Mus musculus: one gene and its partners. The protein of the gene in region 2 binds, or shares a complex with, the protein of the main gene of each other region. Links are inferred from orthologs where the notes say so. Each region holds a gene or a part of one and is shown on either strand. Other genes may lie near its edges. The genes, in order: Ykt6, Ptar1 and Rabggtb.

The links.
Region 1: the proteins of Ptar1 (region 2) and Ykt6 are in contact, whole or in part, in a crystal structure (PDB 6J7F), measured with the Homo sapiens proteins. The link is inferred for Mus musculus from reciprocal best matches to the Homo sapiens genes PTAR1 and YKT6. Residues at the interface, in NP_001093136.1 of Homo sapiens: Glu31, Gly33, Leu34, Ile35, Pro36, Val48, Val50, Glu51, Lys53, Leu54, Gly55, Ser58, Lys135, Tyr191, His225, Ser228, Met229, His230, Val231, Ser232, Asp233, Phe298, Asp301, Leu302, Ser305, Tyr306, His309; in NP_006546.1 of Homo sapiens: Met1, Ser29, Phe30, Phe31, Asn83, Glu84, Pro86, Gln131, Asn132, Pro133, Arg134, Gln180, Phe184, Arg189, Ser193.
Region 3: the proteins of Ptar1 (region 2) and Rabggtb are in contact, whole or in part, in a crystal structure (PDB 6O60), measured with the Homo sapiens proteins. The link is inferred for Mus musculus from reciprocal best matches to the Homo sapiens genes PTAR1 and RABGGTB. Residues at the interface, in NP_001093136.1 of Homo sapiens: Val61, Lys62, Leu65, Pro66, His69, Leu73, Arg76, Leu97, Asn98, Asp100, Phe101, Thr102, Thr103, Asn106, Lys109, Glu110, Leu113, Ile141, Arg144, Trp145, Pro192, Ser193, Tyr195, Ser199, Ile202, Trp203, Gln206, Val231, Ser232, His234; in NP_004573.2 of Homo sapiens: Lys6, Asp36, Tyr37, Cys40, Met41, Glu43, Tyr44, Ile89, Gly90, His91, Asp92, Asp136, Trp138, Glu140, Phe177, Asp178, Gly182, Cys183, Arg184, Pro185, Gly186, Ser187, Glu188, Ser189, His190, Gln193, Trp217, Glu221, Arg222, Pro225.

The regions. Positions count from the first base shown.
Region 1 is NC_000077.6:5,962,175-5,965,805, forward strand, and holds part of Ykt6 (synaptobrevin homolog YKT6), read left to right. Parts: intron 1-162; coding exon 163-267; intron 268-518; coding exon 519-584; intron 585-2,386; coding exon 2,387-2,488; intron 2,489-3,631. UniProt on the Homo sapiens protein: Vesicular soluble NSF attachment protein receptor (v-SNARE) mediating vesicle docking and fusion to a specific acceptor cellular compartment. Functions in endoplasmic reticulum to Golgi transport; as part of a SNARE complex composed of GOSR1, GOSR2 and STX5.
Region 2 is NC_000085.6:23,707,810-23,711,440, reverse strand, and holds part of Ptar1 (protein prenyltransferase alpha subunit repeat-containing protein 1), read right to left. Parts: intron 2,688-3,631; coding exon 2,474-2,687; intron 1-2,473.
Region 3 is NC_000069.6:153,909,351-153,913,426, reverse strand, and holds the start of Rabggtb (geranylgeranyl transferase type-2 subunit beta), read left to right. Parts: upstream 1-1,223; 5' UTR 1,224-1,367; coding exon 1,368-1,502; intron 1,503-1,736; exon of another isoform or gene 1,737-1,817; intron 1,818-2,459; exon of another isoform or gene 2,460-2,538; coding exon 2,539-2,736; intron 2,737-2,815; exon of another isoform or gene 2,816-2,860; intron 2,861-3,060; coding exon 3,061-3,166; intron 3,167-3,265; exon of another isoform or gene 3,266-3,363; intron 3,364-3,828; coding exon 3,829-3,881; intron 3,882-3,967; coding exon 3,968-4,076. UniProt on the Homo sapiens protein: Catalyzes the transfer of a geranylgeranyl moiety from geranylgeranyl diphosphate to both cysteines of Rab proteins with the C-terminal sequence -XXCC, -XCXC and -CCXX, such as RAB1A, RAB3A, RAB5A and RAB7A.

The DNA of each region.
Region 1 (3,631 bases), on a different chromosome or scaffold from region 2:
AAAAGAGGAACTTGAACCTAGAGAGTTCCCTTGCCATTGGATGTCTGTGTATCCTGGGGTGCCCTGGAGTCTCATGTGGGATGAGCGCTGTCGGGGAAGGTGCTTCACCGAAGGTACTAGGAAGTTGGGTGGAAGCTATGTTGCGTCTCCTTTGTTTTGCAGGTACTAGATGAATTCTCCAAGCAGGTGGATAGAATAGACTGGCCAGTAGGATCCCCGGCTACAATCCAGTACACAGGCCTGGACGATCACCTTAGTAAATACCAGGTAAAGAAACACCATCTAGAGACGTCCCAGAAGCTGTGGGACCTGGAAAAGGTCCACACCCGTGGTAGCTCAGGGCTGATGCGCAGGTGAATGGTCTGTTTGAGAACCACAGAGAAATCGTTTCAGATAACCCTAGGTTTTGAGTCCACTGTTCTGTGCCTTTTTATTGTGAGAATTGGTAGTTTCCTCAGTTCAACATTGTTTATAGGTAACTACTTCAGTCTCAACCTTGACTTTGTTTTGTTTCCTAGAACCCCCGAGAAGCTGATCCCATGAGTAAAGTGCAGGCCGAACTGGACGAGACCAAAATCATTCTGGTAAGCAGGAAGGGTGGAGGGCAAACATGACGCCAAAGCACAGGAGGATGTGCGCTGACCAAACACAGCGTCCATTCCTACGTAATGACAGTCGCAGCATGCTTCAGGAAGTGGTGGCTGCCACTCCACCAACTTTGTCACTCTCCCTGTATACCTCATCTTACTTTACAGTGCCCTCTACTTGGAGGGGACCAGGTTGGGAATCAGTGTGGTCCTAGTAAGCATTGTGCCAGTGAGCTGTACCCTAGCTTTGAGCTGACGTTTTCTGCTGTATGAATTGCCCAGTTATGTACAGGAGTAAAGGACAGTGTGGCTGACTCCTCAGTTGGTATCACTCACACCAGTGGACAGCTAGCTGCCTGGCAGTGGCTGTCTGGGAAAGGAAATGGACCGGGCAGCAGGACTGCTCCTCAGAGGGCCTCCATCTCTGTCCTCCTGTTTCCACAAGGCAGATTGTAGTGCTGACAGACTAGACCTCATCTCGAGGCTTCCTGTCACGGTGCTGTCAGTGAGCGTGTAACCTATTGTGTATTTGATATGTGTGTGTAAACTCTGAATTTGGAAGGAGTCACATTTTTAAATGACAAAAAGGAAAGTAGTTGAGATTTGCTGTTACTCATTTAATCCGAATGTCCAAGTATCTTTCCATCACATCTTTAGTATAAAAAAGTCATTAATACAGTGTTACCTTTTACAATTTTTTATTTTATATGTAAGGGTGATTTTGCCTACATGTTATATCTGAGCACTGCACAAATGCAGTGCCTTTTAATGCAGAAGGCATTGGATCTCCTGGAACTGGAGTTAGAGATGACTGTGAACTGCCATGTGGGTGCTAGAATTGAACCCAGGTCTTCTGGAAAAGCAACCAGTATGATTAGCCACTGAGCCAGCCATCTCTCCAGTCCTAATAAAGTTTTCTGCATGCTGAGCCTGAGTCTCTGAAATGTGTTATGTTTGCACTTGAAGCACATATTAGGACTTGTCTCAAGTGCTTGGTAGCTCTGTGGCTCCTGGGTCAGATGACACAGCTTTCTCACTATGCTAGTCTCCTATGGATGCTCAGACTTAATCATGAGCTGTATGACTCCAAACAACAGCCATGTGTTCCCTCGTAGGAGGCTGGGGCTTGATGTTGAAGTTTGAGCCAGACTGGTTCCTTCTTGGGGCCATGTGAATAATGTCTGTTCCAGGCCTTTCTCTGGTTTCTGGAAGTTGCTGGCAGTTCTCACTGTTTCTTAGTTTCTCCTGTGTCATCACATGGCTTCTCTGTGCCTGCATCTGTAGTTTTATGAAGATGCTGGTTATGTAACTAAGGCCACCTAACCCTGCACCACTGCTTCTTACGCGTATGACACTTGCAGAGACTTTATCTCCAAGTACAGTTTCATTCAGAGGCTCTGGATGGATGTGAATTTTAGACAGCCATTGTTATCCTGGTACGGTCACAGAGCACTCAGATATGTCTTTCTTGACACACAGAAACCTCTCTGCACATGTGTGCTTACAGTACACAAGTGCAATACAAACATGCTTTGTGTGAGCTTTCCTAGAGCAGTGCTTATCTCAGTCTGTGCTGGGAAAAATTATGGGAAAGCCACCGGGTCCTGTGCTGTTGACTTGACTGGAGTATCTTCTGGGCCTGGGTCTCAGTGCTTGTTGTGTCTGTTGGGTAGGGGCCCAGAGGAGGCACTTCTAGCCATTAAACTTCCATGAGGGCCTGCTGTCAGCAGACACTTCACTGCACAGAGCCAAGAGTTCTCCTCTCTCTCTCTCTCTCTCTCTCTCTCTCTCTTGCCTAGCACAACACCATGGAGTCTTTGTTAGAGCGAGGCGAGAAGCTTGATGACCTGGTATCCAAGTCAGAAGTGCTGGGAACACAGTCGAAAGCCTTCTATAAAACTGTGAGTAGCTCTGCCTGGCCCTCCAGGGCATCCCTGTCTACACAGCCACTGCACCTAGTTTCTCTAGCATTCTTTATGAGGGCTGGCCCTTTATTTAACCAAGATGAGATTTGGGTACTACTCCTTGGGATATGGGGACCTAAAGCAAGTGCTTCGGCTCCAGGGACGAGCGGCGTACACTGGGGCATCCTGCTGCTTGACCAAGGCTAGGCCTTGCTGGTTTCAGAGCTACCACCCACTTCCCATATTGGTTCCAGCTTTGGTCACCAGGGTTTTCCTAATTCCTCTGGTGGGAGAACATTTGGGCATAAATCCTTAAGATACCAGCAGTTCACGTCTCTGAGGTGATTCTTAGTTCTCTATACATTTTCCTTCCATTGGCAGGGTACCTCCTGCTGACTGCCTGCTTCTCTCGAGGCATTACGTAAATTTCCAGTTGTGAACATTTCTGTTGTTTTGTTTAATATGTATGGGTATTTTGCCTCATGTATGTATGTGCACCACATAAATGCTTACTGCCCACAGAGGCCAGAAGAGGACATAGAATTCCCTGAACTGGAGTTACAAGTGGTTGTGAGCTGCCGTGTGGGTGCTGAGTTTTGAACCCTGATCCTCTGGAAGAACAGCCAGTGCTCTTTTTGGGGTTTTTTGTTTTTGTTTTTGTTTTTGGTTTTTGGTTTTTGGAGACAGGGTTTCTCTGTGTAGCCATGGCTGTCCTAGAACTCACTCTGTAGACCAGGCTGGCCTTGAACTCAGAAATCCACCTGCCTCTGCCTCCCAACTGCTGGGATTAAAGGCGTGAGCCACCACTGCCTGGCATAGCCAGTGCTCTTAACTTCTGAGCCATCACCTTAGCCCCAACATTGTGTTCTTGGCCCACTGTGGGACAATAGTAGAGATAAGTCTGCCTATGCATATTTATGTTGAGTTGCAATGTTGGAGGAAGATGATCAGGTGGGGTTAGAAGGGTGGGCTTTGGCCAAAAAGCAAGAATCGGTTCAGTAGCAGCTGCTTGCTGCAGACATGCGCAGAGACCATACTTCTCTGCCAAGGCAGTGATAGCACTGCTGAAAGACTCCATCAATCCAATTTCCACGATTGCTTCTTTTGCTTATACATGGTCTGATTGTAGGAACTATATTA
Region 2 (3,631 bases):
AATCAGTAGTCCGTGGGACAGCTGTTGAGGAATTAACATCACACTCTTTTCAGGGGCAGGAAAGTGCGGGTACGAGAAGCTGGGGAGCTTTCTTGAGGCTACAGAGCAAATTGGTAGAACAGCTAGAATACAAATTAGGTCTGTATGCCACAAAGAGGCACGTTTAACTATGCTGTAACTAGACTGTCTCTGTCATCGTTTAATTAAGAGAGACGAAGTCCATGAACAGAAATGCTCTGACTCATCATCTCACTAGTACTGGATATCTAGCACGGCAAGATACTATTAACTTTCTACTCTTGCAATGCTGCTAGCGCGTGTATATGTCCTTTGTTTGTAAATGTTTTTACCCTTGGTTTGCAGTCCGAGAGTTTGAATCTGGTGCTGTACGACTCAGGTACGTCTTCTCGAATCTACCCAAGTCTATTCTGAGATGACACTTCACTAAGTTGCCCATCCCCAGTGGCTGAGCTCACTATGTAGCCCTGATTCCATTCCGCTTGTGCTCCTCCTGCCTCCCATTTGAGTAGCTGTGATCCCAAGTGTGCACCACACTCAGACTGAAACGCACTTCTCAGCTGCTCTAGACAACGGGTACTTTTGTTAAGTACTACTTCTCAGAGATAAAGCGCAAAACCCAGACCCTTAGAACAACAGGAACAGTCTTTAAAAACAATTCAGTACATTTTACTGAAACAAGCAAAGAGCACACAAGGCTAGTGACAGGAAGCACAGCAAGTCCTCCTGAAGACAAGGAAGTGGACGAGATGTGAGCACAGCACAGAAGTAGATCCAGGGAGCTGGGTCAAAATCTCAACAGTGAGCTATGCATTTACCGTAAGATGGTCTCAAATGAGCAAGGATTTCTCCTTGGTGCATTGCTGCTGATGTTATGAGAATGGGCCCTGAAAGGGTCCAGGACTAGCAGGCAAGTCTCCCGTCACGTTTCATCCCACTGACCTTTCAGTCCCAATTCACCCCCCAGGCTCCACCCCACTATCATGCTATAGAGCAGAGATAAAGAACTGCAGTAATCAGTATCCCTGACATTAACCACGTGACCTGTGCATCTCTACTCCCACGAAGCTGCTGTTTCTAGTGAACCATTTCTGCTGTTTCCAAATGGACTCAGAGCTCCCCACTCTCCAAGAGTTATGCTACTTTCTAACTGTCGGTTGGACTCTCTCCAGTAGAGTTCATCTGGTGGACAGTACCAGTCTAGTGCCAGCAGCTGGGAATGATAACCTTTTAGAAAAGAACCATATATTGATAACTAAGCCGGTGAAGCCCGCTGCAGCTCATCTCACCTAATCTTTTTATTGGTAGGAGGACCTGTGTGAGAAAGAAACCTGTGTGAAAGAAACCCAGAATGTTCGGTACACTAGCTCAGGCAACCCTCACACTAACATCAAGATAGACAGCAGTCTTTATTTTAAAAATAAAATCTCAAAGGATTACTCTCCTTGTCCCTACAATATGAGCCAGGCTGATGCAATGCTAAGAGTGTCTTGTCTGCTCTGCCTGTTCCTTTGGGTAGCTCCCTCCTGAAACTCACAGCCATGAACAGAGATGGAGCGGTCTACTCTCCTCTGTTGGCTTAAATTCCCTTGGAAGTGAAAACTATATTTACCCTGAAAGACTAGGAGATGAGGAAAAGGGAACTTGGAAGAGAGACCAGAGCTGGTGAACCACAACGACAGGCAGCTCTCTTGGAGCGCACTGACCTTCAACTGCACCTCTTTCAACTGCCCCAACCCCGGGAGGCTTTTAGAAAAGAACCATATATTGTTATGGAATCCTAATACCATAAACAACAAAGGAAAAATGGAGATGACTCTGTAACAGAAAAAGGAACAAAGGGGCTTTCATTCTGACTGATGAGTACTAAATGTTCTAGATGACCCAAGGATAGCTAAGTCTAAGCCTCAAAACACTCCAGAAACTTCCATCTCCCCATCTCTAAAGGGAAAAAACAATGCTGTGAGAGGTGAGAGCCGCACTGAACCTCTGGAGAGCACCTGTATGGGGAGATGCCCCCTGATCCTGGCACCACAGGCCTGCAGAGGCCTTGGGCACCCACGTGACTTATAGGCTTCTTTCCAAGTCTGTCCCCGCTCTCTCCTTTCCTTCCTGAGAGCCAAGGATATGAATATGAATCTGCTATTTCAGCTCCTTGACAGGTGTCCAGAGACCACCATGATATAATTTCAATTCTCCGTAATTTAATAATCTTAGTGAGTTGTATTGACCCCTTATGTTGGGTTCTTTATGCCTTTAGTCTACCAACATATTTCCTTTACCAGTGTCTCGAGCTGTACCAGTGGGAGATGCCAACCCTTCTGTAATTATGAGGATTTCTCTGGAAACCACGGCCGCCTTGGTCCTCTGGGGCTGCTGGAACACCACTTTGAGGGGTAAATTACTACCGAGATTAAAGGGTGGATGGGCAGCATTGGCGATGGAGAATGAATACCTTCAGATCCAGCTTGGCCACGTTCTGTAAAACCCAGATGCGATGGGACCAGGCATTGTAGTTGCTGGGATATCTCCCTGCTGCTTCACTGCAGACTTCCATCTCTTCCTGTATTATCCGCTGTGTCCTCTCTGCAGGAACTGCACCTAAGCTTCCTTTGGCCACAGAGGAGGGCAGGAACGTTTCCTGACTTAACTGCTGCAGCACCCAGCGCCTATTAATATAGCACAGGGGAAAGAAGAGGGAAGAACATGGGTGAGAGAGGAAAATAATCATTTCCCTTGATTCTAGTTTCAATGTACAGGTAATACAAACATAATCGATAAGCTCAGGTATGGGGCTATCAAGGGGCTGCTGCTACTGTGCAATGTAAGTCAACTTAACAGTGTGTGAGGGATGGGGCTGCCATTCAGTCACATCTTTGACCCGTAATTATTCCTGTCTGAAAGAATTACAGGGATGGAAATGGAGAGGAGCCTGAGGAAAAGAAGGTCCAGCGACAGGCCCAAAGTGGGATCCAGCTCAAGGGGAGGTACCAAGGCCTGACACCATTACTGAGGCTATGGAGCACTCACAAAAAGGGACCTAGCAGTCTGCCCTGCAAAAGACCCAACAAGCAGCTGAAAGAGTCAGATGCAGATACTTGCGTCAACCAATGGACAGAAGCAGCTGACCCCTGTTGTTGAATTAGGGAAAAGCTGAAAGAAGCTGAGAAGGGTGATCCTGCAGGAGGACCAGCAGTCTTAATTAATCTGGATCCCAAAACAGACAGCACATACCAGCTGATATGAGGCCCCTAACACACATATAGTAGAGGACTTCCAGGTCTGTGTTCATTCAGAGATGAAGCACCCAACCCTCAAGAGACTGGAGGACCCAGGGAGTTTAGAGGTCAGGTAGGGTGGGGGGTGGGGACATCCACGTGGGGACTGGGTGGGGTAGGGAGGAGGTGTGTGATGTGGAGCAGTTGGAGGGTGGATGGGGGAGGGGCAGGGAATGGAATATGGAGTGTAAAAAATAAATTAAAAATAAAATTAAAAAAAGAAAGTTTCATGCTCATGTTTTGATTTTGTAAGAACAATAGCCTCTTGTTTTTCTATAAAAATACATTGTTTCTAAACTTAAAACAAACAAACAAACAAAACCAGTGTGGGTCAG
Region 3 (4,076 bases), on a different chromosome or scaffold from region 2:
TCTTTCCATAGCAATATATGTGGCGCTTTTTGATTAGCTGGGTAACAGACACTCTATAACTGATCAATCTTCGAGGGTATTGGGGATAGGGACTCGAGCTCAGGTTGGCTTCCAAGTGCCTACACAGCTGAGGATTTGGATCACTGATCCTCCTGCCTCCGCTTTCCCAGTGCTGGGATAACAGGTCTGCACTAGCACTCCGGGTTTGAACGCTGTGGTTGACATCAATGTCCAGGCTCCTTGAATGCTAAGGAAAGCTCTTTGCAAACTGAGCGACATGGGGTCCTTCAGGCAGACTCGTAGCCGGCTGCATCGTGACCGCGGAGTCCTTCAGGCAGGTGTGCGACCGGCTAAATCGCGGCCGCGGGGTCCTTCGGGCAGAGCGTGGCCAGCTACGTAGGGCGTGGGCGGCCGGGCGGGCGCGTGTGCGCAGGCGCGCGGGCCCTGACTCCCCGTGCTCCCGCGCGCTTCAGTCTTTCGGCGGTCGGACATGGTGAGAGCACCGTCGCTGCGGTGCGCGGAGGCAGGGGTGGTCTGGGCGGTGGGTCGGGCTGCGGGGCATCGCGGGCTCGCACAGCATGGGGAACAGGCGGGCCTGCAAGGCGATCATTCTTGTGGGGCCCAGGCTGGCCTGGAGCTCTCCGCAATGCCCCTGCCTCGGCCTCCTTAGGCCATACTTGGACTGCCGCTTGAGCTGTGTATGGCTCAGCGTTTTCTGCACTTCTCGAGGCCTGGGATCTTATCCGCGGACCGTGGGCGAGCCTTCCTGGATTGGGCCGCCTGATATTTTTTCTTAACATCGGGGACTTGTACGTGCCTGTATTTTGAAGGTTACATGATCATTTACGAATGTTGTTTCATAGTTAAACATTTTAACTGGGATGGAAGGAAGTCGGCCTTGGCCCACGCCTTTTAATCCTAACACTCTTGGATTAAAGAAGTGAGGCAGAAGCAGGTGGCCTGGTCTACACAGGGAGTTCCAGACCAGACAGGGCTTCATAGCCGAGACTCTGAATAAAGTAGGAAATTTATTTTGGCAATCGCTTTGACCTACTTATTGGGTGAGTCTTAGAATCGAAGGTGGAATTTGGAGCTAATGGGTCTGATTATTTAGCAAAGGGGTTAGCATGTGAAGACTGTAGAAAGGTGCGCTGAAGCCTCAAACTTGTTAAGCAAGAGTGTGTATTTCTGGCATAACTCAAAAGATAAGCGTCAAGATTCGGGTCAATGATGAGCTGGCATGTATTCTGAATCTAAAGTTGATTATAAACCACTTTAGCTCTAGAATTACTCTGAGACCTGAAAGAAAAAAAGTACTGAGATCTGGCTATGTGTGAGTCTGAGATGTCACGATTTCCGGATGGTGAATGGGATCTCTGCTTTTTTCTTGGAAGGGCACACAGCAGAAAGACGTTACTATCAAGTCAGATGCGCCTGACACCCTGTTGCTGGAGAAGCATGCCGATTATATTGCTTCCTATGGCTCAAAGAAAGATGATTATGTGCGTATGATTCTTTTTTCTGTTGAAAGGTTTCTAAGACTAACAGCAATAAGTATAATACTTACTTGTATAATACTAATTGAGAGGCCTGATTTAAAATGTATTATAGGTGTACCTTGTATATCAGAGGTTGGTATTTGACCACATCAGTCATGTGCTGGTACATAAAGGGCGGAAGTGCAGGGCTGCAGGTAGAAGGGGTTTGCTCATTTCTGTCTGGGGTAAAACCTTGAAGGTCAATGATGTGTTGGCATGTATTATCTGAATTCGCTGATGTGTCATAACACTTTAGCTCTAGAATTACGCTGAGACCTTGAAAAGGTTTTACCTAAACTTGATGTAATGGTGTGCCTGGGGAAATGGCCGGGGAGGTTGCCAGCAGCAAGCAGGGGTGGCTGAGTTTGAGAAGGCCCAAGCTGTGGGGGGACCCTCCAAGGAGGAGTCATTTGGGTAAAAGTATTTGTGCAGCAGCTCTCTGTCTTAGAGAGCGTGGCATTTGACTGTCTTTACAACTTTTCAGTTAGTGGGAATCATAGGCCCAAATGTGTGGCCTTCTTGCCAACTGTGCACCTGGTTCTTTTGGGTTTGGTTTGGCAGCACGCCAGTGAGGCCTTCACCTGAATAAATGCTTGTGAGGTAATGCTTCATTTGGTTCCCATCTTTAGCGTCATTTATCTTTCCGTATTCATAGACTTCATTTGTAGAATGCAATAATTGATGCTTAGTAAACAGTAGGCATCAATACTGCTTTTGGTTAATTCACCTGAGGTTAGCACTTGGAGACTAAGAGTATTGGCTCTCAATCTTCTTGCTGCTGTGACCTTTCCTAACAGTTCTACGTGTTGTGGCGATCTCCGACCATGAGATAACTTTTGTTGCTACTTACTTCATAACTAGTTTCATTGTTAGGAATCAGAATGTGGGGCCCAAAGGGTCGGCAACCGCCACTCTAAAGCCTTACGAGTTGTTCACAGCTGACTTAGGTAGAGGTGGGTTATGTAAAGTCAGAGTGGCAAATCTGAGATGCTTCTCCTAGGAATACTGCATGTCTGAATACCTGAGAATGAGCGGCGTCTATTGGGGCCTGACTGTGATGGACCTCATGGGACAGCTTCATCGCATGAACCGAGAAGAAATCCTGGTGTTTATCAAGTCGTGCCAGCATGAGTGTGGGGGAATAAGTGCTAGCATTGGGCACGACCCCCACCTTCTGTACACGCTCAGTGCTGTCCAGGTGAGCCCTTGTGAAACCTTGCCACTTGCTGTGACCACCCAAAGGCTACTTCCCACAGGTCAGTGATGTCATGGCATGTATTAGCTGAATGCTAACCTGATGCAAGTTACAAATTACACTGAGACCTTGGAAGGTGAACTCCTTGTGTATGTTAATTGAAGCACAGTCCAGTTCAAATTTGGTTTCAATGAAGAGCCAGAGGATAGTTAAAGCCCTACCTGTTTCTTACCTTATCAAGGGAACAAGAAGTTTATAGTAAGCTTGAGAGGGCCTGGTGGGTGACTCTGATCCAGGACAAACCTGTGACACCCGCTTGTCTTTCAGATTCTTACTCTGTATGACAGTGTTCATGTTATCAACGTAGATAAGGTCGTGGCCTATGTTCAGAGCCTACAGAAAGAAGATGGCTCCTTTGCTGGAGACATTTGGGGTAAGACCAGATTGCAGTTTTTGTCAGCTACTCCTACTCAGAATATCTTTTGTCTTGGTGGTAGTAATCATAAGATTTCAAGTTGTTCCGTCTTTTCAGGTCCCACTAAGCAGTTGGTCTAACTGGAATAAAATGGCCTGCTGGAAGTCCCAGCATGCCCCGTGCTGGCTTGTCAGCACACCACACTAAAAGATAAGGTAGGTTCAAGTTTTATCTCCAATAATAATTAACTTCCCTGAAGGTAAAGACCTGGGGAGGTCTCTAAACGTTTGTCAAATTAGTAAATATCTTGAGTTGGGAGATGGAAATTTTTCCTTTGATTAATTTAGATAATCTGGGGGGGAACAAAATGCAGTCCTGAGACCAGCTGCTTTGTGGGATGTGAACCTTTTTTAAAGCAGGGCTTTGATTATGTTACTAAATTACTAGCCCGAATGGGGGGCGAGGCATATACTCCTGCCATTTTATAGGTTCCTTTCTTTTCTGGGCCCTTGCAAGCTACTAGGCTATTGCTTTCTATTTGCCTAGCTGGTTTCCTCAGAAGTTGGGGGACTGCCTCCTAGTGAGCATAGTCAGTCTTGACTTTGGGGAGTTTAATGGGTTTTGTTCTTAGGTGACTTGGTAGCACTTACATGTCTGCCTTGGCTCTTTTTGTCTTTTAGGAGAAATTGATACAAGATTCTCATTTTGTGCGGTGGCAACTTTGGCTCTTTTGGTAAGCTTTGACTGTTGCATTAAAGGACCGAATTAAACACTTGAGTACTAGGTAGCTGTAATAGGCTGCTTCCTTTCTCGTCATAGGGCAAGCTTGATGCTATTAATGTGGAAAAGGCGATTGAGTTTGTTTTGTCCTGCATGAACTTTGATGGTGGATTTGGGTGCAGACCAGGCTCTGAATCTCACGCTGGGC